7 linked regions of the Ovis aries genome follow. The protein of the gene in region 1 purifies or fractionates together with the protein of each later gene. This does not show direct contact. Links are inferred from orthologs where the notes say so. Each region holds a gene or a part of one and is shown in the gene's direction. Other genes may lie near its edges. The genes, in order: PLK1, UBR5, CLSPN, DCAF1, FARP2, WDCP and C1H1orf226.

Region 1 (4,023 bases):
AACTCCCTTTTATTTATAAAGCATTTTAGTCACTCCTTTTTGCCAAGCATTGTGCTGAGAGCTTGGGACATGGGGTAGGAAAGATGTCTTCATTGCCTCTGAGTTTATTGGGAGTTATGTAAAGAGATAACTGATATGACTTTTGCTGACTCCTAGCAAAGACATCATAGGATGCTGGGCTTACAACTTGAGTGATTCTCAGGGTTGCCACTTAAGTATCTATGGAAGCCAGACAGGCAAAGGGGCAAAGGAGGGTTATCAGGGAACTCTGACAAACTGGGAAGGTATGTTAAGTAAGCATAGAGTTGCAACAGCTAATAGTTTTTTCAAAGTTGCATTTTTATGTGAGCTGTCTTGATTTTTCACTCCTGTATATGAATCCAAATTTTAAAAAGTGAAAGACCAAACAAAACACCTCTGCAGCCAAATTTGACCTTGGCTTACCAGTTTGCCAGGCATTCTGCCAACCTGTCATCTTTCCCTCTTACAAAACACTTGAGGGTCCACTATTTTAGGCACTGGGAAATAGAGCAGTGAGCCAGCCAGACAATTTTCTTGCAGAATGACCCTGGCGGGGGTGGTGGGGTTCTGGTACTGTACTTCTCAAACTTCAATATGTGTGGGAATCACTGGGTAGATTCTGAATTGGGGGGGTCTGCGTTGAGGCCTGAAGCTTTGGCTTTCTAACAAGCTCCCAGGTGTTGGTGATGTTGGTGGCCCCTGCTGTTATTTGAAGAAGAGTAGGGGGTTTGTCTGGAAGATGCGTTTGCCTGGCAAGCATTCTCTTTAGACTTCGATTTTAGTTTATGGGGTGATTTGGAAGAGAGCTGGTGACTTCCGGGGCGGATGTTAGGGCTCCCCCATGCTGTCTCTCATTCTAGGTCTCTATTCTCAGAGTTTATAATCTAGAAGGCGAGGTGGGGATGGAGGAAGGTGCTGGGAAAAGCTTCCTGGAGGAGGTCCTCGCGGACTGCAGGAGCTTCCCCTGCCGTCGAGAAAGGAGAAACCCTGAACGCACCCTCTTCTGGGGCGGGGTCTCAGCAGCCCCACACCAGCTTTGGTTTCCCAGGCATCCCACGTGTCTTCCGTCCGCCATCCCTGCCAATCAAGCTCCTCCCAGGGCCTGGGTGAGAGTTTAAAGGCGGCTGCAGTGCCGAGCGCTCCCAGAGTGCCGCGCGGCGGGCGGGTTTGGATTTTAAATCCCCGCGGCCAATCAGTAGCGCGTAGGCTCTTGTAACGTTCCCGGCGCCGCGTTTGAATTCGAGGAGAGGCAGAGCCGTGCCAAGCCTCTGCCTAGACCCTGCTAGGTCCGCTGAGCAACTCCGGGAACATGAGTGCGGCGGCAACTGCAGGGAAGCTGGGGCGGGCACCAGCCGACCCAGGGAAAGCGCCCGGAGTTGCAGCTCCCGGGGCTCCGACGGCCGCCCCGCCGGCGAAAGAGATTCCGGAGGTCCTAGTGGACCCTCGCAGCCGGCGGCGCTATCTACGGGGTCGCTTTTTGGGGAAGGGTGGCTTTGCCAAGTGCTTTGAGATCTCGGATGCGGACACTAAGGAGGTGTTCGCGGGCAAGATCGTGCCTAAGTCGCTGTTGCTCAAACCGCACCAAAAGGAGAAGATGTCCATGGAGATATCCATTCACCGCAGCCTCGCTCACCAGCACGTCGTAGGCTTCCACGGCTTTTTCGAAGACAACGACTTCGTGTTCGTGGTGTTGGAGCTCTGCCGCCGGAGGGTGAGTGTCGCTGCTGGGGAACTGGAACTGCCCTGGCGTCAGGGGTTGGGGCACTGGGAACCGGAGCTGCTGGGGAAGGGGCGCCCCGGGGCTCAGAGCTGCTAGGGAAGAGGTGCTGGGAACCTGGAACTGGAAATGGAGAAAGTCTTGGGGAGAGGGAAGGTTCTCGGCACTTGGGGCCTCTAGGGAAGGCGGCTTCTGAACGCTAGGAGTTGGGCGGATTGGGGGAGGTGCGGGAGAACCTTGCTTATGGACGCCAGGGCTTTGGAGTTGCTAGGTAAGGGATATTGCGGACCCTCACTTTCCCGAGTAGGGTTGGGTCAGGCAGAGGGTAGTTGGAGCCAGACTTCGGAGCTTCCGGGGGAGGGGAGGGGCAGGAAAGGGACCTGTTGCTGCCAAGAGTTCCGGGACCGGGATACTGGGGTCTCTGAGCTTCCGGAGGGGTCTGAGAGAGGGGTCCCAGGTAAGGGTTTTGGGAGGGAGCCAGTGGGAGAGGGTTGCTATGAACTGTTGCGGCCTGGTTTTGGGGGGGGGGGGAGTCTGGATCGCAGTTGTCCTGAAGAAATGGTTAGTAGCGTCCTGGCTGCCTTTACCTAATGACACTCCCTCCCTGCCTTGGGTCTGAGCACCGGCTCCCATTTCTCCTTCCCTCCTGCTCCCAGTCTCTCCTGGAGCTGCACAAGCGGAGGAAAGCTCTCACGGAGCCCGAGGCCCGCTACTACCTGCGGCAGATCGTCCTGGGCTGCCAGTACCTGCACGGAAACCGCGTTATTCACAGAGACCTCAAGCTGGGCAATCTCTTCCTGAACGAGGATCTGGAGGTGAAAATAGGTAAGGAGCTGGGACTGCAAGGGCATTTGACATGCAGTGGGAATGAGGAGGAGCTGGGAGGGAGGGTGAGGGAGAGGAAATTTGGAAAGAGACAAGGGAGAGAGGAAGAGGATGGTAGGAAGTCTGGGCTGTTGATTGGCTGTAGAATCCTCTCTTAGGACAGGAACTTAAAGAGCTACAAACCAGTGTCTTGTCTGCAGATGTGCTTTGAGGGGGGCAGTGTGTTCTATACAGTTTGTTTTTTTTTTTTAAGAATTTGGATTTGTTTTCACTTTTTAAAAATATTTTTTCAATTTACTTATTTCGGCTGCACTGGGTCTCCGCTGCTGCATGCCTTTCTCTGGTGCGGTGAGTGGGGGCTACTCTGCGTCGCATGTGCGGATTTCTCATTGCAGTGGCTTCTCCTTGTGGAGCGCAGGCTTCAGCAGTTGTGGCTCCAGCGCTCTAGAGCACAGGTTCAGTAGTTGTGGCACATGGGCTTAGGTGCTCTGTGGCACATGGGATCCTCACCGACCAGGAATGGAACCTGTTTCTCCAGCATTGGCAGGTGAATTCTTTACCACTGAGCCATCACGGAAGCCGCTCCTCATTTTCACTTTTTTAAACTGAGAGCCTTGATGTAAAACTTTGAATTTGGAGCTCCTTTTAAACACTCGAGAGCTCCAGCAGTACAGGGGTAGCGTTCCCTCAAGACAGCTCTTTGCTGTACTGAACAGCAGCTGTTCCCTTTAGATGCCCTATGGTTTGCCACATTCCCCACCCCTCCGTATCACTTCCTCACAAACTTGCCAAGTAGCCATCTTGACATTTACTTGCTTAATCCCTGAAGGTGTTTGAGTTTTGCTATCCCTGTCAGTCGGAGAAGGCAATGGCACCCCACTCCAGTACTCTTGCCTGGAAAATCCCGTGGATGGAGGAGCCTGGTAGGCTGCAGTCCATGGATCACGAAGAGTCGGACACGACTGAGCGACTTCACTTTCACTTTCATGTGTTGGAGAAGGAAATGGCAACCCACTGCAGTATTCTTGCCTGGAGAATCCCAGGGACGGAGGAGCCTAGTGGGCTGCTGTCTGTGGGGTCACATGGAGTCAGACATGACTGAAGCGACTTAGCAGATCCCTGTCAGTTCCCTTTTAGAAGTAAACCCCTCCTTTCTAAGGGGAGGGGTGATGAGAGTCTTTGGGAGGCCCTTCCCTAGGGCCAGCATGGTGGGAGGATTCCTGGGTAACAGGAATCTAGTCCTTGCTGTACACAAGGACTAGAGGCTTTGAGAGATCACTTGACCCTGGTTCTTGATGGTTACCAGCTGAACCAGCTGTCTGCATTGACAGACGACAGAAGCTGGCATCTGAGCCTCCCTCTTCCTCCCTCTGTCCCAGGGGATTTTGGACTGGCAACCAAAGTGGAGTATGACGGGGAACGGAAGAAGACCCTGTGCGGGACTCCTAATTACATAGCTC
Region 2 (3,500 bases), on another chromosome or scaffold:
TTACTAAAATCTAAAACTAAACTAAACCTGAGGTATAGGCACTCTGGTTATGTACAGGATCATTCGTTTAACAAATGGTAAAGATTTTATCTTGTTTGGAACATGTGAAAAGCACTTTAAAAACTATATGTCTGTACATTTAAAGTAATAGACATATAATGGAGGGGGGTGCGATTTGGTTGGTTTGTTTGTTTAGAATGGCACTTTTTATTATACCAAAAAAGTAATCAGGTGAGAAAGTTTACTTTAGGCTTCTGTGCTTCATTACTTTTGTCTTTTTTCTTACCTTTAAATATAGCGTGCTAGAAGGCCAAGCTGAAGAATGAAAAGACGTCTTACCTTTCTCTGTGTCCAAAGCTTTGGGCAAGGGGGCAGGTTATTATATAATCTAAATAACAACAGAATGATGGAATTTTAAAATATTCTGTGCACTCATACAGTAGTGGTCCCCAGCCTTTGTGGCACCAGGGACCGATTTTGTGGTAGACAGTTTTTCCGTGGACTAGAGTAAGGATAATTTAAGCACTTTACATTTATTGTGTACTTTATTTCTGTTATTATTACATAACTCCACCTCAGACCATCCCACATTTGATTCTGAGGTTCGGGGATCCTTCTTATGGGATAAGACTAAAACAATTCAATTCTAGTTACAGCATTGATCTTAAATCTCATTTTTCCATTTGTTTAATAGTTTACCTAACTAGGCTCTAAGTTGGCTGAGTCAGAGTGTTTAGCAACTGAAATATTCTGATGTCTTTTATCACAGTGCTTCTCAAATTTTAACATGCATGCAGAACTCTTGGGTGTCTTACTAAAATGCAGAGGCTGATTCTGGAGGTCTGGGTGGGGCCTGAGAGTCTGTATTTCTTGTGGACTCGCAGATAGGACCGTGCCAGTACTGCTGCTCTCAAGGCCGCACTTTTGAGTTGCAGAGTTTCTAAGATGTGCAAGAGACGTCTTAAACATCTTTTATAATGGAGACATCTGTCCATTCTTGGCTGTTTCCAAGTCACATTTTTAAGAAAGCAAAATTACTGGGTTGGCCAGAAAATTCGAACTTTTTGGCCAACCCAGTATTTTGCCACCCCATCTTTTGTTATGATTTATTTTATAATTGTACTTCTGAACTTATTTTTTTCCCCACACTCATCAGCAAGTCAGTGGTTAATAAGCTGATGCAAAGTAGGTCATGTGAGTCAAGTCTCTTAAAGAGTAGGTTACTTGTAAATAAGGGACTCTCCTTAGTGGGTGAATGCTGCTACCAGAGCCTTTGGAAGTTGAAAGGTTTAGCAATGGAAAAGGAAACATTGTCTCTGTAGAAATATTTCAGTGGGGAGAACGGGAAAAAGTATGCATTAACACAGACTGGAAATGCCTTACTACTAAAAAGTAAAAACCATTCTGAGATTTATAAGTTAAATCTTAGGTAAGATGATTTCTTTGGGGCTACACATTTTCTGATATACCATAGATTAATTATTGTTGCTTTCCAAGAAACATTTGGTCAGATTGGAAAGAGCAGGTTGTGAACCACGTTGAATAACTCTGAGGGGTCTATGCTGTCTGTCAGGGTGGTGGCCGCAGCGTGCTCACAAGCTGCTTCCTTACAGCTCCAGTCAGTCTCAGTCGTCCTACATCATCCGGAACCCACAGCAGAGGCGCATCAGCCAGTCACAGCCTGTCCGCGGCCGGGATGAAGAACAGGATGACATCGTTTCAGCAGATGTGGAAGAGGTGGTTTCAGTTGTTGTAACTGTGGTACATGAGAGGCTTTTATTTGGGAGGGAAGGGGAAAGTAGTCACTAGATGTTTTATTAACGGTAGCTTACCACTGTTACATGTATATGCTTCTACCTTTTAGACTTCGGTTATATGTTCTCATTTGTAGTTACACATATTAAAATATGTTAGTAATCCTTGTTTCATTGGCTAATGAGAAATTAGAAATAAACGTAACTCTACTTCAGGGTTCACAGAAAAGATATTCTCAATGTTAAAAATGTTTTAGTAGTTTTGTGCAGTGTATTCAGAGGTAGAGAGGCTGCTGCATATTTATTATATAAATTTTATAATTGCCAAAGTTTAAAAAACATATATTCCCCACACAGTTTTTATATTTCTGATTTTAAGCTTTTGTGTATGGATAGTAATCATAAACTTTGGGATATGTTGGCATAATTTTTTATACCAAATTTTTGCTAGCAAATGAAAAATTTCAAAACTACTTAGTGTTACAGTTCCCTGTAGTTAGTGATCTTTGTATTTTAGTTACTAAATGCTGTGGGGGAATACTGGTAGAGATGTGGGTTTATTATGTACTTTGATTGTCTACAAATAAGATCTGGATTTAGGTTGAGGTGGTGGAGGGTGTGGCTGGAGAAGAGGATCACCATGACGAACAGGAAGAACATGGCGAAGAAAATGCTGAGGCAGAGGGACAGCACGATGAGCATGATGAAGACGGTAAGCAGGTTATTGGTGAAATTACCTGTATGAGAAAACCAGGTGCCTTTAAAGAGGAACTAATACAGAGGAAATAGTACTTAATGTATAGTGAAACGTTCAGCATACTTCTGCCAGGGGATTCTGTAGTATCTGACAGACTTTTACATACAGAAATATAAATACTGGATTAGCCAAAAAGTTCACTTGGGCTTTACCACATCTTCAGAAAACCTAAGCAAGCTTTTTGGCCAACCCAATGTATAGACTTTTATATGTTTACATGCATAAAATAATTTATCATCTCTCCATTTACCATTTGGTTTACACTTTCTATTTTCTTAAAAGTCTTTTAAAATCAAAATAATCATAACCAACATAACATTTGAAAATTGAGGTAAGGGAAGACAACCCATAATCCCACCCAGACGCTAACAGTTTTTACTTTCAGTCCTCCCCTGTACTGCCCCATTCTCATGCGTGTCTTTCATATTATGTGTAAATTTTTTATTTTGATTTTTCATGTAGGCCTTTTTGCTCCATAGCCGTCATCCTTCTTAATAGCCATAGGATAGACTTCTGGGGATCACCTTTATTGAGGTTTAATTGACATGCCGAAAACTATACATGTTGAAAATTCATAACTTAGTATGTTATGACATTTGTGTATATACAGTGAGATACAAAGGATACATGTTTATTAGCCTTCTTCCCCTCTTGGAATCCCAATATGTAAAATTGATGAAAATGAAGCAGTGGCCCTAACCCTGAGCTCTGTCCACTTGTTGAAGTCCTCCTGCCTAATATTTTTTACCTAAGGCTATGCAGGCCAAATTTTGTGTCTGTGTTCACTGAGTACCATGATTTACCTGGTCATTCTTATGCTAAGTGGGCAGTTATGCATACTCTAGCATTACCAGTCCTCTCTGCCCCGCTCCCTTCCCTTCCCACCCTTACAGTATTCTGTCTTATCAGCCTGTCTTGATCGATAGTGTGTTTGTACCTTATTTTCTTGTTATTTAAATATATTTGCTAGGGAGCGACATGGAGCTGGA
Region 3 (3,500 bases), on another chromosome or scaffold:
TGACAAAGGAGAGCAGCCACAATAGCAGCTTTGAGCTGATAGGCTCCACACTTCCATCCTATCAGCCTTGTAACAGACAAACAGGCCGCGGGACCAGTCTTTTCCCTACAGCAGGAGGATTCAGATCTCCTTCCCCAGGGCTATTTCGAGCCAGTTTGGTCAGTTCAGCCTCTAAGGTGAGATGGTAATGGTTTTCTAATCTCCTCCCCCTTTTGCTTCCCACATTGCTAAATAAAGTGTGTCCAAGCCAAAAACTCCCACCACATTATGTATGTTCAGTTTTAAAAATCCACCCCCTTTGTGTATTAAAAACAAGCCTCATCCAGGGTTCTTTCTTTCTTGAGGATGTTTTTTTTTTATGCTTCCCTTGGCTATGCATTGTCCTCCCCAACTGCAATTGCCTGAGAGTAGATTAGATTTTACAAATAGCAGCTTCTGTTGTTGTCATGACAGTGAATGACATTTGTAAAATGTTTTGTTTTTGTTTGGTTTTGTTTTGGTGCCAGAGTTCAGGAAAGCTGTCTGAGCCTTCACTTCCCATAGAGGATTCCCAAGATCTGTATAACGCCTCCCCAGAACCTAAGACACTTTTCCTAGGAGCAGGAGACTTCCAGTTCTGCTTAGAAGATGACACTCAGAGCCAACTGTTGGATGCAGATGGGTAGGTAGCTTTATGTTTCTGTGGGTGGGATTGTGCTGGGTACTGCTTAATTTTGTTTAAAAATAAAGCGAGCTTCTGTCACTCCATCTGTGCTTTCCCTTCTGAGAAAGAGAGGTGTGCAGACCATTAGTATTATATTCTACAAGTCTGAACAAAGTCTGTCTAGAAAATAAAAAGTAAATAGCCTTGCTAGTGTTCTGATCCTTCAATTTCTACCTTATTAGACCTGCATAACTCTTATAAGGTCATCAAATTTCCCTGTATCCATATCCCTGGGGGCTCAAGTGGTAAAGAATCTGCCTGCAGTGCGGGAGACCTGGGTTTGATCCCTGGGTCGGGAAGATCCCCTGGAGAAAGAAACGGCAACCTGCTCCAGTATTCTTGCCTGGAGAATTCCATGGACGGAGGAGCCTGGAGGGCCCCAGTCCATGGCATCGCAGAGAGTCGGACACGACTGAGTGACTAACACTTTGACCTTTGTCCCACTACAGTAGGAATTTTGGGTGGCATTGAGAATTGACACCTCTGTGGCACATTACATGGCCATAACACCAGGCCCTACTCTAGCACCATCTGAAGCCCCAAATTAGCCTTTACCCTTTGTCTTTTGAATAGCCTTCTTTCATAAACATCCCCCTCCCTCTTAAGGTTATCACAGGCTAAAATCTGACACTCTTATCTTCTGGTTCAGAATTCAGCTTCTAACTTTTCTTTTGGAAATGAGTTCAGGCTTTTCCCCCACTACTTTTTTTTTTTTCCTGAAGCATTTCTTACACTCTTCATTGGGCTTGTAGGTTCTTAAATGTTAGAAACCACAGGAATCAATACCAAGATTTGAAGCCTCGGTTGCCGTTGGCCAGTATGGATGAGAACGCCATGGATGCCAACATGGATGAACTGTTGGATTTGTGTACTGGGAAATTTGCATCTCAGGCTGAAAAGCCTCTGCCTGGGAAGAGTGACAAGAAAGAGAACATGGAGGAACTTCTGGATCTTTGTTCAGGAAAATTTACTTCTCAGGGTAATTATCCAACAAAGCAGCAAGGCTCACCCGCCCAAATACCGTCAGTGTCCATGTGAAGAAGTCCCTTAATCTCAGGTGAAATGTTCACAGAAAACAGCCATGGTGGATTCTTGAACCTAGGTTGAATTCACTGCTTAGCTCCTAACATTTAGAGCTCTTCCTTTTTTAGGATGGTGAAGTATCACCTTAAGACTGCTTTAACTTTGGCCATATGACTTGTCATTTATGGCTAGAATATGTGCAAAGCTTAGAGCGGCGTCTGCTGCAGAGTAAACTTCATATAAATGCTAAGTTATTACTTCCACCTGTGCACCCCTTTCTCCTTCTCACACCTCTGCTAGAATGTAAGCTCTTTGGGAGCTGGGATCTTTGTTTTATTCACTGATGTCTCCCTGGTGCCTGGCACATAGTAAGCACTAAATAGGGATTTGCTGAATGAGTGGATGGTGAGCTCTTTTTGGCAAGCTTACCTTAGAACTGTGTTGAGCTGGCATGTCTTCAGATGGCTGGGGAAAGAGGATAAAGCTGTCAGTTCTCGGTGACAAATCTTTTTCTTTGTTGTAATGTAGATGTCTCTACTTTGGATCCATCAGAGTTAAATAAGCAGGAGAAGGAGAGCAGCCTGGGTGATCCAATGGAAGAAGCACTCGCTCTTTGTTCAGGCTCTTTCCCAACAGACCGGTGAGTCCCAGTGATCTGAGGGAATTTGGCAAGTTCCACCTTCTGATAAAGTACAGGGGTAGCTTCTCTGGGCTTAGCAGTAAATGGTCATCTTAGGGGCTTCATATCCTGTCTGAGAGTCTTGCAATGGGTTTGAGTCTCATATTTGAACAGTGAAATTATTTATTCTAATGCTTTCATTTAGTTGATTGTGAACAGGATAAAAAAGGCAAGAAAAGGCACATGGAAGCTCTCACCATCACTAGTGATTAAGGAAATACAAACCAAAACCCCATTTTTTAAATACTTCCTCACTCCCAGCAGTTATTCCACGTTTGGGTATATACACAAAAGAACTGAGAACACGGTTTCTTAGTAGATATTTGCACACCCATGTTCCTAGCAGCATTATTCATAATAGTTACAAGGTGGAAGCATCCCAAGTGGGTGCATGCATAGTGGAATATTATTCAGCCTTTAAAAGGAAAGGAGGTTCTGATACATGCTGAGACATGGGTGAACTGTGAGGAGATTATGCTAAGTGAAGTGAGCCATTCACAAATATGCAGATACTGTATGATTTATATGAGGTCTTAGTGTAGTCAAATTCATACAGACAGGAAGTAGGAAGGTGGTTGCCAGGGGCTGTGCGGCGGTAAGAATGAGGAGTTGGTATTGAAAGGGTATAGAGTTTTAGTTTTTTAAGATGAAAAGTGTTCTAGAGGTTGGTTGGATAACACTGTGAATGTACTTAACACTAATGAACTGTACACTTAAAATGGTTAAGATAGCAAACTTTGTGTTGTATGTATTTTATCACAGTTTGGAAAAAAAATTTTTTTTGAAAGGCAAGATATCTTGTTTCCTGTTTTTGAAGAGATTCTTGGGGCTATAAGATATTTTCGGTCCCTAAGTTGGCTGACTGCTTATAGTTGGCTTTCAACAACTTGTGTATGGATTTGTTGATTTGCATCTTAGGGAAGAAGAAGGTGAAGAGGAGGAATTTGGAGACTTTCGGCTTGTCCCAAATGATAATGAGTTTGATAGTGATGAGGTGAGTTTGAAGGGAACAAAGTAATCATAACTGAACTCCGTGTATAGCTGCTGGGGAGTTTTGTTTGTTTTGTAGTTTGAATTCTTGAGAAGTCTGTTTGG
Region 4 (3,500 bases), on another chromosome or scaffold:
GTCCAGTAGGTAAGAGTTCACACTGCCAATGCAGGGGGCCTGGGTTCAATCCCTCGTCAGGGAACTATGCCGCAATTAAGAGGTCACATGCCACAACTAAGATCCAGCGCAGCCCAATAGATATTTTTCAAAAAATCTTACATACAAGTTGTGGGATCTCAGGTTTTTCACATGGGAATTTTTGTTATTGTTAACATTTTTAAGTGAAGGTCCAGTTCTCTCTTGTAAAATGAAGATGAACCACTGACGGTCACTGATAATTTGGAAGAACCCGCTTGAAACAGAAAGGCTGTTTTTCTTTCTGTCCTTCTAACAAAGTTTTGTTCTTCCGAGTCTTTGCATATTGTTTGTCTCTGATTCTCTTCTGTTTGTTCAGGTTCCGTCCTATTTCAGTGTTCCGGGAAGCCAACGAGGATGAGAGTGGCCTCACCTGCTGTGCGTTCTCTGCACGAGAGCGCTTCCTGATGCTGGGCACCTGCACCGGGCAGCTGAAGCTCTACAACGTGTTCAGTGGACAGGAAGAGGCCAGCTACAACTGTCACAACTCTGCCATCACACACCTGGAGCCCTCCAGGGTAAAGCTCCCCTCCTAGGTTGTGCTCAGTCATGCTTCTAGGATAGGTTGGTGAACTGCAGGTGTGTGGGCTGACCGCTTTCCTGTGTTTGTGTGTAAAGTTTGTTTGGAACACAGCCATACTCAGATGTTTATGTATGTCCTGGCTGCTTTGTGCTGCAGCGGCAGAGTTGAGTATTGTTGTATGCAGCACAGACCATGTGGCCTGCAAAACCCAAAGTATGTACTATCTGGCCCTTATGTTTTCCAGACCTAAAGATAGGTGGGTAGATTTTTAATGTGCTTTATTTAGAAATGGAGATTATCTATCAACTATGACCACAAAAGTTTTTGTCTTGGAAGGAAATCTGTAAGTACTGTGATTTTTTAGGAAAACAAGCATTGTGTGATCCCACTGGCAGTCTAGTAGTACTGTTCATTTTAACTCTTTATATTGGAGTATAGCTGAGAAGCAGTGTTGTGATAGCTTCAGGTGGACAGCAGAGGGACTCAGCCTTACACATACATGCTTCCATTGTGCCCTCGACTCCCCTCCCATCCAGGCTGCCGCATGACACGGAGCAGAGTTCCCTGTGCTCTACAGTAGGGCCTTGTTGGTTATCCGTTGTAAATATGACTGGGTTATTAGTACTGTTCTATGGATGAAATCAATGCTTTTGATGTTTCTACAAGTCAAGACTGTTAAGATGACAAGGCTAGTTTCCCTCATTCTAAAGTGAAGGAGGTGGCTCCATTTAGAGTGCATCACCAGCAGGGACCTGCTGTAAAGCACAGGGAACTCTGCTCACTGTTGTGCGGCAGGCTGGATGGGTGAGGAGTTCGGGGGAGAGGGGATACACGTATGTGCACGGCTGAATCCCTTCGCTGTTCACCTGAAACTGTAACAACATTGGTGATTGGCTCTACCCCAGTCCAAAACAGAAAGTCTGAAAAAATTATAATGGGGGAATCATGAGGAATACAGATTGAGTAAATTTGGTGATGAGCTGGGAAGAAAAATAAAGCAAGTTGATCTTTATTGGGCTTTCTCTTTAAAAAATCTTTTGAGAATCCTTAGCTACAGAGTCTAACAGCTGTTTTCAGTTTACTGATACTTCAGATGAGAGAGATGGAGAAATAAGGCCAAATATTAAGAAAGGAGAAACCATGTTTGACATCTAAGTCTCATCATCCCCCACCCACCACACCCTTGAAACTATTGTATTTCATGTTACTAGTTCAGGAGGATTAAATATTCTCAAATTTAGTGATTTTTTGTGACATAGGTACATATTACTTAAATCTTAGCAACTTCTGACCATTTCTTGATTCCTAAAAGTTTTTCTGTTTTCTTTATAATCCAGTAATATATGTTATATTTTACAATGCTAATGAAGGATGGCATTTATGTAAACACATGATTACCCATATTGGGCTTCCCGTCTTCTTTTAGGATGGATCCTTGCTGCTGACATCGGCTACCTGGAGCCAGCCTCTGTCTGCACTTTGGGGAATGAAATCAGTATTTGATATGAAGTATGTATCTACTTTTATAGTTCAGTGTCTCTGTTTTACAATTTATCCCCTTCATCTGATTCTTTGACACAGAGCATTTTTGAGGGAAGAGAGGAATGCTGTAAGGTTTATTGCTGACTTCTCTCTTCCTCATCTGTGGTACATGTTTAATAAGATTTTTTATTTTCTTGGTTCCTGGGTATTCTTACCAAGTATATACATTCCCATCAGACAGCAGACCCTTCACTGATCCAGAAGGGCACATCTTTCTATTTTCTCATAGTGGCGCTCTTTGCTGGGGCATCTTACAGAGGCATATGTACCCTGTTAGCCATTGTTATAACTAAGTAGTTCCCATTCATTTATTTTGAATCTTCTTGGACAAATTGATGGAGGGAATTTTCTTTTTAATCTTTTGTGTACAATTTTTTCCTCTTTGGGAGCTGAGAATCTTCAGGTGAGTATAGTTAGGCCAGAGGCTGAGAATCACTTTCTTTTTAGTCAGTTAAATAATTATGTCCTGAAGATCAGTTACAGCAATACTTCTGTTGCTTGTTCATAGGCATTCCTTTACAGAAGATCATTATGTTGAGTTCAGTAAGCATTCTCAGGACCGGGTCATAGGCACGAAGGGAGACATCGCCCATGTAAGTATTTAAGAATCCACATTTTTCAGGGTGATTTGTCTGTTTATACTGAAACTTTTTGAACTGAGTCTGATTACTTAAGTCTTGTGGGCAACTAGAAATTACTCAGTGATGATTCTTTCCAGATAAAATCTAGAATTGTAATGAAGTAGTTTCAGGCTATATGGGAAAAATGTAAAACGACTGAGCAATCTTACAGTTTGAGAACTGTTTCATTAGCACAAAAGATACCTTGAAACACTATGAAGTAAAGTTCCTGTCTTGGTGGATCCATATGGGGAGACAATAAACAAAAAGAAGCAAATATATGGTGTGTTAGGTGGTGAGTGCTACCAAGGAAAAGAGAGCAGGGTAAGAGATAGTAAATGCTTGGTGGTGGTGTGGGGGACTTCTTTTTCATCCAGGAAATAAGTGTCAGTGATTGGATAATGTTTAAGTAATGTCTTGAAAGAAGCGTGGGCGTCATGCAGATACCTTGGGGAAAGTGATCTGAGATGCAGAATGGCAAGGGAAAAGCCCATTCCTGGGAGGTGGGAAGGAGAAGGAGGGGATAATAACCAAAGTCAGTGGGGGCATACCCTGGAGCCTCTTGTAGCAGTGTGTTGTTTAAGACCTTTGGCTTTTCCTGTGTATGAGATGGACACTGGAGGGTGACTAAGAAGGCATGTGATTGGATGTAAAATTCCTAAAGTGTGAGTCTGGTTTCTGTGAGAGAAGCAAGAGGAGGCTTTCCAGTTAGGAGGGTGGTGTTCCAGCTAACATGAGTGCTGCAGTGGAGCTGGGCT
Region 5 (3,500 bases), on another chromosome or scaffold:
CCAGAGGTCTCCTCAGGCGCGCAGGGCTTTGGCAGAGGCTCCAGTGCCTGGGAACGGCCACTCCGCTCTTTGTGACACAGTGGATCCTGTCAGTCAGCTTCAGAACGCCAGACCGTCCTGCATCTCTGGAACCACCTGGCTTGCTATAGAACGATGCCTTGTCTCTGCCTTTAGGTCCAATTAGGGAATACTTTTTCCTGGAGTTATTTAATCCCTTATCATCACGGTTAGTCTGTGTGGATTTTCTTTGAGTCTTTGTTAGGTTTTGGCACCACTTTATATCATGAATTGTCTGACTCTCTTTTCAACAAAACGCTCACCGTCTCTTCCTGTGCTTGACTTTCAGCTGATAGTGCTGGACCCGCCGGTGAGTAGCCGGGTGCCTGTGGCCCTCAGGTCGTCCACCTGGGTGGCAGGGCCCCAGCGGGGGCATCCCAGTGCCCCCTGTAGCCCCGGGTAGAGTCAGCGGGGGCCTGGTGCGCGCCTGCGTCCAGCTGCAAGCTCGGGTCCCACCAGCCCCGCTCCTGGTCCAGACCCCCCTCTCCGCCCACAGGTGGAGGATCGGGAGAGTGAGCGGTCTGTGCCGCACTGCTTCACCATCTACGCGGCTCGGAAGACCATCGTGGTGGCGGCCAGGTGAGGGCTGTCCTTCCCCGTCTGCCTGTGGGCCCATGCCATGCACGTCACGGTCACCGGGACACACGGCCCGGTGAGCACTGCTTCAGGGGAGCAGCTTCACCCTCAGTGGGAGCGTGTGGCTGCTGAGACCATCCCCAGGACGGCCCGGCACTGCAGGCTGCCCCCTGCCCCAGAGCTGGGCAGCAACTGGCCGCCTGGGCCACAGCGCAGGACCAGTGGACATTTCCCTGCCCCAGGTCACATCCCCGGGAAGGAGACCCAGGCTCTGATGGCCTGTGCGGGCCCTCCGTGGGGATCGGCACTGAGCTGTGCCCGGTCCCACGCCTCCCAGAGGAGGGCCTGGGTCCTGCCGCACCCTGTGGGGTCCTGGCTGGAGTCAGAGCACAGCACACTCACCTCCCACCAGGAGACCTTGGCAGCTTAACTGTGATCCAGGCTTCAGGCACCCATTTCTGCAACAGAGCTCTAAAATCCCGTGATTCAGGAACATACCATGATGTGGGCCAGCCCCAGCCAGCACGGTGGGTCAGGCTGGGCCACCAGCAGCCCTGCCAGCCCTCAGGACCTGCAGCAGGGGGTGCCTGGGCAGGGCAGGCGCCCCAACTCCCTGCCCCACTGCGGAAGGGGGCCCTGCGCAGCGGCTGAGCCTCAGGCCTGTCCGCAGCACCCGGCTGGAGAAGGCCAAGTGGCTGCATGACCTGAACGCGGCCATCGACGCAGTCAAGACTGGCAGCACTCCGGCGCCCCCGGCCTGCGTGCTGTGCCCTCTGCCCCGTGGTGAGTGCTAGCCGAGCCCCTAGACACCGAGGAGGCCTTCTGGGGGCGGGGCTGGGGGTCGCCTGGGCAGCCCACCCACTACACCCGCATGCCCTCCTTCCATGGGGCATGTTTAGGGGGCGGTGGGCATGGGCGCTCTGGCAGGGCAGTGTGTGGCCAGGGTTCCCACAGCCTCAGCCAGGGCTGGCCTCTCCCCAGGGTTCCCCGACGAGGCCTCTATGGAGCCGGAGTCCGGGGACGAGGCTGGTGGGGCCCGGGGCTCCGTGGTGGGAACAGGCCAGCTCCGCGCCAGTACCACCGCGCACGTGTGCTGGTGCCGCCAGACCAGCGTATCCAGGGCCGACCACAGCGCAGCCGGCGAGGTGCGGCCAAGCGCGGGCACCCCTGCTCTGCTCCCTCCCTGCAGCAGCGCGCAGCCTGGTGTGTCAGGCCCCTGGGCACCCCCAGAGCAGGTGGGGGCCAGGCCAGGGAGTGAGCAGGCAGCGGGCCAACTCGCGGGGACCCACCGGACAGGAGGTGACCTGGGTGCCCCTCTGCCATCTGTGCTAGCCCCAGGGTCAGAGGTGTGGGGCCCCAGCCTGAGGAGCTGCCTGCGCCGTCCATGGGCTCAGGCCTGGGGCCGCACTCGCAACGCCCAGAGGGATGGGGTGCGCCAGCGGGCAGCACGGTGGGCACCACAGCAGGGCACGCAAGCACCATGCCCCCAGCCTGCGGGTAGACGCCGCTGTGGGCGTCCCGTGGAGCCCCAGCCCTCATCCGGAGCCTCAGCCCATTCCCGTGTCTGTCCCGGGACGCTGGGGACAAGGAGCGCCGGGCTCGTCCAGCCTCTCCCTGCCCAGTGGACCGTTAAAGACAGCGCCAGGGCCAGGGGAGGCGCCCAGTCAAGCCTGGGGGAGGCCCTCCAGGGCTGGTGGTCCCGGGACACATGTCCACAGGCATTTCTCTTCAGAACCAGCTTTCTGGATACCTGCTGAGGAAGTTCAAGAACAGCAGTGGCTGGCAAAAGCTCTGGGTGGTCTTTACCAATTTCTGTTTGTTCTTCTACAAAACTCATCAGGTAGGCGGGGGCTCCACCTGTGGGCGCTGCAGCCTCACAGAACCCGCCTCTGGGTGGGCAGGGCTGGGCGCCTGCCGAGTAAGCACGCCCTGCCACCTTCCAGGACGACCACCCCCTGGCCAGCCTCCCGTTGCTGGGCTACAGCGTGAGCCTGCCCAGGGACACTGACAGCATCCACAAGGAGCATGTCTTCAAGCTCCAGTTCAAGTCCCACGTCTACTTCTTCCGGGCCGAGAGCAAGTACACGTTCAGGAGGTAACTGCAGAGGCGCCGGCTGTGCCCACTGAGGACTGGCTGCGCACTCCCTGGGTCTGGAGGGGCTGCCGAGCGCTGCTGCTGGGGTTTAAGGGGCCCTTCCCTCTTGACTTGGGATCGTTCTTGGGAAGGTGTTGGGGCACAAGCCCGCCGATCTGAGGACCAGAGCACGCCCCGCCTCCCAGGCGAGCAGTTGGTGGGGCGGTTCTGACCTCTACGCCTCCTCTCAGGTGGATGGAGGTGATAGAGAGAGCCAGCGCCTCAGCTGGGAGGGCCGGGACCCCTGAGGAGGAGGCCTGAGGCCCACCCTGCCCCAGACGCAGACAGCCGAGCAAGCAAGGCCAGCACGCACCCCACGACTGCTTGTTCCCCCAGGAGACTGGTGGCAGGCGAGCCTCCGGCGCCACCTGGCAGGGAGGGCTGCCCTGGGCCCCGCGAGGCGCCAGGAGGGCAGCAGGGGGAGCAGGCGCGCTCTGTGCAGGCAAGGCTGGCGCTGCCCCGCCCTCAACCACCTGCCCTCCTCTTCCTCCTCCTGGGCCGGGCCTCCCGTCAGGCTGGGTGATGTGAGGGGTCTAGGCACAGAAGCCTCTCTGGTGCCCCCGGGCCCACACTTCTGAAAAGTGGACAGCAAGCCCCTCTAATTTATCCCAAGAAGTGTACGGTGCTCATGCGCCGAGTGGCTGAGAATAAAAGGCTTCTTCATGCTTGGTCCCACGTGCTGCCTTGCCCCGCCAGCTCTCCGGCCAGCGGCCGCTCGTGCCCACCTTGGGTG
Region 6 (3,500 bases), on another chromosome or scaffold:
AAGACTCTTCACAGGTGCTCCCTCTGTCCCGTCTTTGATGTGGACAGCTACGTGCGCTCAATCGGGGCCACTGTGGACTCACAGGTCGCTATAGCCACTGAGCTTCCGCTGGACAAGATTTGTGGGTTAAATGCTTCTGGAACTTTTGACGTTCCCCCTAGTGGTGAAGACACTTGTCTGCGTGCTTTACCAGTTACTGATCCACTTTCCTCTGAAACAAATTCTGAAACACCAGTGTCGTCATCCTTTTCTGAGCCTCTGGATCTAACTCATATCCACTTCAACAGATTTAAATCTGAGGGTAGTTCTCTTACTTGTCTAAGAAAAAAAGACTACTTGACAGGAACTGGCCTAGATTCTTCACATTTGGTCCTTTTGACCTTTGAGAAGGAGGTTACCTGCAACAGAAAAGTCATCATTCCAGGCATTCTGGTTCCTGATCTAATAGCATTTAATCTCAAAGCACAAGCAGTCGCAGTGGCTTCCAATACATCTAATGTAATTTTTATCTATTCTGTCATTCCGTTATTAATGCCAAACATCCAGCAGATTCAGTTAGAAAGTAATGAAAGACCAAAAGGCATATGTTTCTTGACAGATGAATTACTATTAATTTTGGTGGGAAGACAAAAGTCCACTGACTCGGCATTTCTTCCTTCTTCAAAATCTGATCAGTATATGATTCGTTTGATTGTTAGAGAGGTAATGCTGAAAGAAGACTCTCCAGTAACACTGAGTGAAAACCAGAGTGGTAACTCTGCTTTCAGTACTCTGATAAATAAAACAAATATAAAAAAGCTAATTGAAGATCTTTCGCCGGATTTTTGTCACCAAAGCAGAGGGCTCTTGTTCACAGCTAATAGCAGCAGTCAAAGTGGACGGCCTGGAAGAACCCTTATTGAAGAAATAGAAAGTCCTGCATCCAGCATCTGTGATGGCTCCACAGTCCTAGAAACTCTAGATGCCAAGCCTGTTAACTGGTCAGTAACACTGCCCAGACCCAGCAGCACACCAGCCCACACCAGTACCGCAGAACCTCCTAACTTAGAACGGGAAAAGGAAATGTACCAGCTGTCTAAGGAACTGGAAGTTGTATCTAGGAACCTGAGTGAAGTGCAGCGACATCTTTCTGAACTCAGCAACTTTCTGCACAATGGAAAGAAATCCTCTCCAGTGTACCCACTCTCTCAGGATCTGCCTTATGTTCACATCACTTGCCAGGTAACTTCTCCTCTGGGGGAACTACCACTGGCTCCTGTAGCCAGTATGTGCTGCAAGAGAAATTTATTGTTGAGGCAGTGGGGTTCTAATTGAACTTCACTGAGCTGGGCATGTTATGTTCAGGCAAGTTTTTATACCTTTTCAGGTTGGTTGGATAGGCCCACATAGCAATATACACCATGACTTTATCATGCGCATGGTATGAAGACATGAATTCTTGCACTCATTCTGGCAATCTATGTTTAGAAAACAAATTCTTAAATCATGCTGTTTCATTGAGAAGACCTTTTCTTATATGCAGTTGCAAGCTCTCTTCCACTTATAAGAAAGGTTATAGTCATTACAATTTTTTAATGTACCTATGTATTATTGTATATGCAAACATAAAATATTTAAATGGGCTCATATAATATCTTATTTTATCATGAATACTTTCCCATTGAACTTGGTCCTGCTTCTCCCTGTAATCCACTTTTAGCTAGTAGCTTAATGTGGATCCTTGCATATTTTTCCTTCGTACTCATATAATCTTACACAGATCTTTGCTTAATTCATAGGTATATAGGGGTTGGGGTAGTGATTTTCTCATTGTTTTACAAACATGGGGTCATATGGTGTATTCTTTACTTCATGCTGACAGCATTCTGTTTATTCAGTTCTTCCCTTGTTGATGGACAGTCACTTTGTTTTCAGTTCTTAGCCACTCCAAATAGTGCTGCAATAGTATTCTCATATGTATCTATTTATATTCATACTTTTATTTCTATTGGCTTGGTTCCCAGAAGTGGAAGTGTAGATTTGAAGAGTATATATATATAATATGTATATGCTTCTACTTTTAATAGAGTTGCCAGATTGCCTTTCAAAGACTTTTTACTAAACAATGAATCATCACATGCCCGTCAGCAACATATGGGACTATCCTTTTCCTTACATCCTCACCAATCTGATGAATGTGAAGTAGTATTTCACTTTTATTAATTGTTTTTCCCATACTGTTGGCTATGATGAATGCTTAATCATGGATGACTCTTTGTGACCCCGTGGACTGTAGCCTGCCAGGCTCCTCTGTCCATGGGATTCTGCAGGTGAGAATACTGGAGTGGGTTGCCATTTCCTACTCTAGAGGATCTTCCCAACCCAGGGATCAAACCTTGTCTCTTGTGTCCTCTGCATTGGCAGGCAGGTTCTTTTACTGTGCCACCTGGGAAGCCCCTGGTAATTCACTACTGTTAATGAATTTGAGTATATCCTCATGTGTTTTGGTCAGTTGAGTGTGAATTGCCTTTTGCTCATTATTTGCTATTGAGTTACCAGTTTACAAGAGGTTTTCTAAAGAAATTGATAGATGTATAGTAACCTAGGTTTTCTTGTATTATTTTATTACATTAGTTTTTACATTTATGTTTTTAATCATTGATTAAAATTTTCTGAAAGGTAAGTAGTTGTGCTACCGACATTATTAAAAATGCATCTTTATCCCACTGAACTTGATCTACCAAATTTCTTATATATAAACTTACATATCCTGAGATCTAATTCTGGTTACTTCTTACTGCAGCTACTGTAATACTGGTCTTTGTCTAAAACTTTAACAGTACCACACTGATAGGATTACTGTGGACTTATATATCTTTGTTTAAAGATATATAGATATATCTTTTGTCAGTTGATAGTTAGCATTTTTTTAAGCAGTAAAGCATTTTAAAATTAAGGTATGTACATTATTAGACATATGCAGTTGCATACTTAAGTACAGAATATGCACTGTGTGTCCTCCATGGCTAAATTGTGTGTGACTCTCTGACTCCATGGACTGGAGCACTCCAGGCTCCCCTGTCCATGGGATTCTCCAGGCAAGAATACTGGAGTGGGTTGCCATTTCTTCCTCCAGAGGATCTTCCCAACCCAGGGATCGAACCCATGTCTCCTGCATTGGCAGGAAGATTCTTTACCTCTGTGCCACCTGAGAAGCCCAGAATATGCACTGCTGCTGCTACAGCTAAGTCACGTCAGTCGTGTCCGACTCTGTGCGACCCCATAGACGGCAGCCCACCAGGCTCCCCTGTCCCTGGGATTCTCCCAGGCAAGAGCACTGGAGTGGGTTGCCATTCCCTTCTCCAATGCATGAAAGTGAAAAGTGAAAGTGAAGTCGCTCAGTTGTATCCAACCCTTAGCGACCCCATGGACTGCAGCCTACCAGGCTCCTCTGCCCATGGGATTTTCCAGGCAAGAGTACTGGAGTGGGTGCCATTGCTTTCTCAGGAATATGCACTAGG
Region 7 (4,284 bases), on another chromosome or scaffold:
GTCTTGCCTTTTAGTTGCTGAGTTCCTGTGCCAGGTTTTAGAGAGGGCATTAGGATGCATATTAAAACCACGGTGACATTCAAAGAGTCACACATGCCTGATTAGACTTTCATGTCCTGTATTTATAAAAAGGTTAGTGGAGCATTTCCTCCGTGCAAATTATTTTTGGTTCTTACTAATATTTATGAATATAATAAAGTTTATACAGCAGAAGGTATATGATTAATTTGTTTTAGTCATCAGCTTGCTTTCATATAAGGAGATATCCCAGAAGAGGCTACATCTTGACCAGTAATTTCAGCAGGTAGGGATCAGGCAACATATAGCAAAGAGCAATTGTACTTCAGCACTATGGGGCAAAATAAGAAATAGATTTATGACAATAATGTGTTCTCTTATATAAATGTATCACAGAAATATTATAGGAAGACATGCCTCTTGGAAGTAATTTTATTGTGATGCTTTTGGGGCCTTGACTATACAACAATAGTGTCTGTATGTCAAGTTGTCCCGGGTGGATGTGTCCACAAGGTATTAGTAGGTTTAAATTGAATTCAGCAGAGTTGCTGACCATTGGCTCTCAGTGATCTCAGGTTGGGCTAGCTTTGGCACCAGACTATCCGGTTACTTTTGACTCGCGGGTAGTATTAACCCATGTTCCTCTACCCATGGGGTCTGATACATAATTGGTCACTAACTATCCCTTTGCCCCGCCCTTCCTTTGCACATTTTTGCATGGCAAAAAAAACCTCTTGGTGTAAAGGAGAAAAGTGAATGGGTCTCTTCTTAACAATAAGCAAATTGAACTGAAGCACTTCCTAAGATAGGAAGAGTACTAACTTGGAAGCCCATTTTGTCTACAACCAGCTTTAGGTTGTTTAAGAAAATGGAAACGTTGTGGGCTCTTTTGTCCTTAGTACGCTTCATCGGCCTATTCCATTTCCATGAGGCTTATGGTTTTAACATTAACACTAAAACCACCCCCAAAGGCATCCCCACAACCCTCCAATAATACAAGTCACAAAACAGCTCAAAGGAACGAACACAAAGCACCTGCGATCGTCCTCCATTTGGGTGCAGTCTTGATTCTCCAAAGAAAGGAAACTCTCAGAATTAATGGTCTGAATACACACGGGCCAGGACTTGGGCCTTCCTGGTAAAACATTAAAAACAAAACAATAAACACCAGCCCCTCCCCCCTCCAAAAACAAAAACAGAAAACCCAAGGCGCCGCCGCTGCTAACTATTAGGAGCCTGGCTCAGACTCTGACTGTAAAAAACAAAAACAGGACTGAGCCTGCGTTCCTGGGACACCGGCTGTCCAGGGTCAGGGCGAAGTTCCCGGGGTCCAGCCCGGGGACGCGGGCAGAGCCGGGCGCCACGCTCCCGGGGACTTTCACCTGCTCCGCGGGCAGCGCGGGGGCGGGCCCGGCGGCGGGCGGAGCCTGGGCGCCCTGCGGGAGGAGCCGGCCCGGGCCCGCCCCGCAGGAGGAGTCGCTCGCCGGCGGCTGATCCGGCGTCTCCGTGACAGGCACCCAGCTCCGCCGCCGCCGCCGCCTTTTCTTCCTCGTCCCGGGCTGTCCGCGCCTCTGTTCCCGGGCCAGCGCCGCGCCCAGTCCCAGCGCGGGCCGCGCGCCCACCGCTCCCCTCCCCCGGCCTGGGCGCCGCGCTGCCCGCTCCCACCGCCGCCCCCGCCGCCTTCCTCGCCGGCAGGAATTGCGCGGCCACAGCGCCGCTCGCGTCGCCCGCATCCGTGCCGCCCGGCCCTCGGCGTCTCTCCGAGTCCCGGCTTCCACGGCCGCCGCGCGGCCGGGGCGCCTCCAACCCGGCGACCCTCCGCTTGCGCCCCCTCCGCGCGCCGCCGCCCCCGGCTCCCGCCTCCCCTCCCAGCGGTCTCGCCAGCTCCTTCCTGCCTCCACCGCCTCCGGAGGAGCCGGTCCACCGCGGGTCACCATGCCCAGCAAAACCAAGTACAACCTTGTGGACGATGGTCACGACCTGCGGATCCCCTTGCACAACGAGGACGCCTTCCAGCACGGCATCTGCTTCGAGGCCAAGGTGAGGGGCCCCGGGGAAGGGACTGTCCCGGAGGGGGCATGTCTGAGCGGATGGGATGCGCAGCCATCCCGGACGCAGAGCTGGTGGTGGGTTAGGCTGATTTGGGGGCCTTTCTGTTAGGGAGGATGACTCCCCTTCTCTGTATAGAATTCCGCGGGTTCCTGCCCAGAACTGCTACAGAGTAACTGCAAAGTTTGAGCGGTATTGCTTCATCCCCCTCCTCCCACCTGCAAACTGCCCCCTCCTTACCCACCCAGGACTCACTGAGTTACTTCCCTGATCCCTCCTTCTGAGAAGAAGCCAGTCGGGGAGCGTAGCCTGCACTTGGTTCTTTAGAATCGCTTTAGGGAAGCTTTGGTGTCATTTACCTGTTGGGATCCCGTGGGAGAGGTGCTTTCAGAAAGGTCTTTTATAAGGGGAATACCTGCTTCCTGATTGAAGAAAATAATACAGGGGTGGGTTTGTTTTTAGATTCCTGGTAACCCCAGCCAGGTGTCAGAGTCACTTCCTAAATGCCTTATTAGCCACGACTCCTTTGCAAGTGCCAGTCATTGAAGGGGGAGGTGTGGTGAAAGCTGCCCGGTTGCTAGTTTTGTGGCGTAATGTGAAGTTTCAGCATCTAGTAGGGGACTGCGGCTGAAGAATTTATCGGTGAGGGCGGGGGGAGGCGGGCGCGGCAACAGGAATTTTCAGCTCGGAGCCCCAGGTCCGTCCTTGGGAGAGGGGGTGGGGCGGAAGCCTCTGAACTGCACCATCAGGTGTGAATAAGGCTGCCCCCCTGTCATGCGCTTCCCAGAGTGAGGAGTTCTGGTTTCTGAGATTGCAGCCGGGGTTCCTGCCCATCACAAGGGAGGAGTGCTACTGCTCTTCCTTCGTGCTTCTTGACGCCCTCCCCTCAAGACTCAAGGATGCTCAGCACCTACTGTGTGCCTGTCACTGACAAGTGACGGAAAATACCACCCCTCCTAGTCGGTTGTGTCTTGCTGGTTTTGGAAAGGTAATGCGTTCGACATGGAGGCAGTTTTACTCTCTGTCCCCCTTTTCTCCTTCATAGGTAAGGTGTTAAGCATCTCAGGCAAGGATTACTCCATCAGGTGGCTATTTCCTTCAATTCATGAGACATCTTTTTGAGAGTCTGATGTGAGTCCAGTGCACAGTTATCTCTCAGTTTTGTTTTTTTTTCCTTCTCCTAGTGATGTTAAATCTTACCTTTTCTCCCGCTTCCTAAATAACCTTCCCCCAACCATATTTGCTAGAGCTAGGAGGACACCCCCTGTTCCCCTAGACATCAAGCCCTGCAGTGGAATGCAGAACTGAATTACTGGGTATGGCTGGGACCAGAGTGGGGCTGTAGCCAAGATCTTATCTTGCTTCTCTCAGAATAGATCTGGTTGGTTTGATACCAGATCAGATGGGTTAATTTTTGTCCGGGCCTGTTGCTTCGGTGATCAGGTTTTTAAATTTTAAGGTATGAGTTTTCATCACATCATGACTTAATTTTCTCGGACATGCATGAACTAGGCAGTTGGCTTTGGTCTTCTTTGGTTCACCATTACTCTGCTTTGCAAGGCTGGGCGGCAGAAGAGAGATCAGGATTAAAGTGTTTTTAACCTTTTGATTCTTTTCTCACAGTCTCTGCTAGTTTGGTCCTAGCGAGGACTCTTAACCTAGCGTGCATAAGAATCACCAGGTGAGGTTGTTGACAACTCTGATTGTTGCCGTCCCCAATTCTAATCTGATACATCTAGGGAGAGAGCAGGACTGTGCCCCTCTAAGGAGCATTCCAGGAGCTTTAATGCAGGTGATTGGGACCAACATTGGAGAAACACTGGTGGTGCGGTTCCTATGGTAACTTCCCTGGATTCATACACAGTGGTGCTTGATAAGACGAGGGGGAACCACAGTTGGTCCCTGCTGTGTTCCCATTACAGATTTGGGGTGCAGCACACCAAGGGTTCTGCTTTGAGAATGGTGAAGTGGGGAAGAAAGGGCAGGGCTGACTTTGAGAACTGGGTCCTAACTCCCAGCTGTTTGTAATCGATGCTGGACACCAGTACATTCAAATCATGTTAGCTGAGACCTGAGCAGAGGTGGAAGTAGACGCTTTTCTTCCTGAGAGCATCTGGCAAGTGCCTCGTCTGGCTGGTTTTCACATCCCTCCTGAGCAGTGTCCATGGAAGTGCACGATCACTGGGATTTCAGGGTTAAATGCACGCCACACTCTTT

The links.
Region 2: the proteins of PLK1 (region 1) and UBR5 purify together in Homo sapiens (affinity purification with mass spectrometry; 4 studies listed by BioGRID and IntAct, with this or other methods). This does not show direct contact. The link is inferred for Ovis aries from reciprocal best matches to the Homo sapiens genes PLK1 and UBR5.
Region 3: the proteins of PLK1 (region 1) and CLSPN purify together in Homo sapiens (affinity purification with western blotting; 3 studies listed by BioGRID, with this or other methods). This does not show direct contact. The link is inferred for Ovis aries from reciprocal best matches to the Homo sapiens genes PLK1 and CLSPN.
Region 4: the proteins of PLK1 (region 1) and DCAF1 purify together in Homo sapiens (affinity purification with mass spectrometry; 3 studies listed by BioGRID and IntAct, with this or other methods). This does not show direct contact. The link is inferred for Ovis aries from reciprocal best matches to the Homo sapiens genes PLK1 and DCAF1.
Region 5: the proteins of PLK1 (region 1) and FARP2 purify together in Homo sapiens (affinity purification with mass spectrometry; 3 studies listed by BioGRID and IntAct, with this or other methods). This does not show direct contact. The link is inferred for Ovis aries from reciprocal best matches to the Homo sapiens genes PLK1 and FARP2.
Region 6: the proteins of PLK1 (region 1) and WDCP purify together in Homo sapiens (affinity purification with mass spectrometry; 4 studies listed by BioGRID and IntAct, with this or other methods). This does not show direct contact. The link is inferred for Ovis aries from reciprocal best matches to the Homo sapiens genes PLK1 and WDCP.
Region 7: the proteins of PLK1 (region 1) and C1H1orf226 purify together in Homo sapiens (affinity purification with mass spectrometry; 3 studies listed by BioGRID and IntAct, counting the BioPlex papers as one, with this or other methods). This does not show direct contact. The link is inferred for Ovis aries from reciprocal best matches to the Homo sapiens genes PLK1 and NOS1AP.

The regions. Positions count from the first base shown.
Region 1 is NC_056077.1:21,880,673-21,884,695, forward strand, and holds the start of PLK1 (serine/threonine-protein kinase PLK1), read left to right. Parts: upstream 1-1,223; 5' UTR 1,224-1,330; coding exon 1,331-1,732; intron 1,733-2,394; coding exon 2,395-2,563; intron 2,564-3,942; coding exon 3,943-4,023. UniProt on the Homo sapiens protein: Serine/threonine-protein kinase that performs several important functions throughout M phase of the cell cycle, including the regulation of centrosome maturation and spindle assembly, the removal of cohesins from chromosome arms, the inactivation of anaphase-promoting complex/cyclosome (APC/C) inhibitors, and the regulation of mitotic exit and cytokinesis.
Region 2 is NC_056062.1:75,041,825-75,045,324, forward strand, and holds part of UBR5 (E3 ubiquitin-protein ligase UBR5), read left to right. Parts: intron 1-1,613; coding exon 1,614-1,737; intron 1,738-2,354; coding exon 2,355-2,466; intron 2,467-3,481; coding exon 3,482-3,500. UniProt on the Homo sapiens protein: E3 ubiquitin-protein ligase involved in different protein quality control pathways in the cytoplasm and nucleus. Mainly acts as a ubiquitin chain elongator that extends pre-ubiquitinated substrates.
Region 3 is NC_056054.1:10,698,991-10,702,490, reverse strand, and holds part of CLSPN (claspin), read left to right. Parts: coding exon 1-176; intron 177-506; coding exon 507-661; intron 662-1,455; coding exon 1,456-1,682; intron 1,683-2,254; coding exon 2,255-2,366; intron 2,367-3,323; coding exon 3,324-3,399; intron 3,400-3,500.
Region 4 is NC_056072.1:49,405,488-49,408,987, forward strand, and holds part of DCAF1 (DDB1- and CUL4-associated factor 1), read left to right. Parts: intron 1-376; coding exon 377-575; intron 576-2,006; coding exon 2,007-2,089; intron 2,090-2,630; coding exon 2,631-2,715; intron 2,716-3,500. UniProt on the Homo sapiens protein: Acts both as a substrate recognition component of E3 ubiquitin-protein ligase complexes and as an atypical serine/threonine-protein kinase, playing key roles in various processes such as cell cycle, telomerase regulation and histone modification.
Region 5 is NC_056054.1:376,891-380,390, reverse strand, and holds the end of FARP2 (FERM, ARHGEF and pleckstrin domain-containing protein 2), read left to right. Parts: intron 1-346; coding exon 347-367; intron 368-553; coding exon 554-636; intron 637-1,303; coding exon 1,304-1,416; intron 1,417-1,614; coding exon 1,615-1,778; intron 1,779-2,365; coding exon 2,366-2,473; intron 2,474-2,576; coding exon 2,577-2,728; intron 2,729-2,958; coding exon 2,959-3,028; 3' UTR 3,029-3,432; downstream 3,433-3,500. UniProt on the Homo sapiens protein: Functions as a guanine nucleotide exchange factor that activates RAC1. May have relatively low activity. Plays a role in the response to class 3 semaphorins and remodeling of the actin cytoskeleton.
Region 6 is NC_056056.1:31,714,316-31,717,815, reverse strand, and holds part of WDCP (WD repeat and coiled-coil-containing protein), read left to right. Parts: coding exon 1-1,221; intron 1,222-3,500.
Region 7 is NC_056054.1:113,541,098-113,545,381, forward strand, and holds the start of C1H1orf226 (uncharacterized protein C1orf226 homolog), read left to right. Parts: upstream 1-1,484; 5' UTR 1,485-1,953; coding exon 1,954-2,058; intron 2,059-4,284. UniProt on the Homo sapiens protein: Adapter protein involved in neuronal nitric-oxide (NO) synthesis regulation via its association with nNOS/NOS1. The complex formed with NOS1 and synapsins is necessary for specific NO and synapsin functions at a presynaptic level.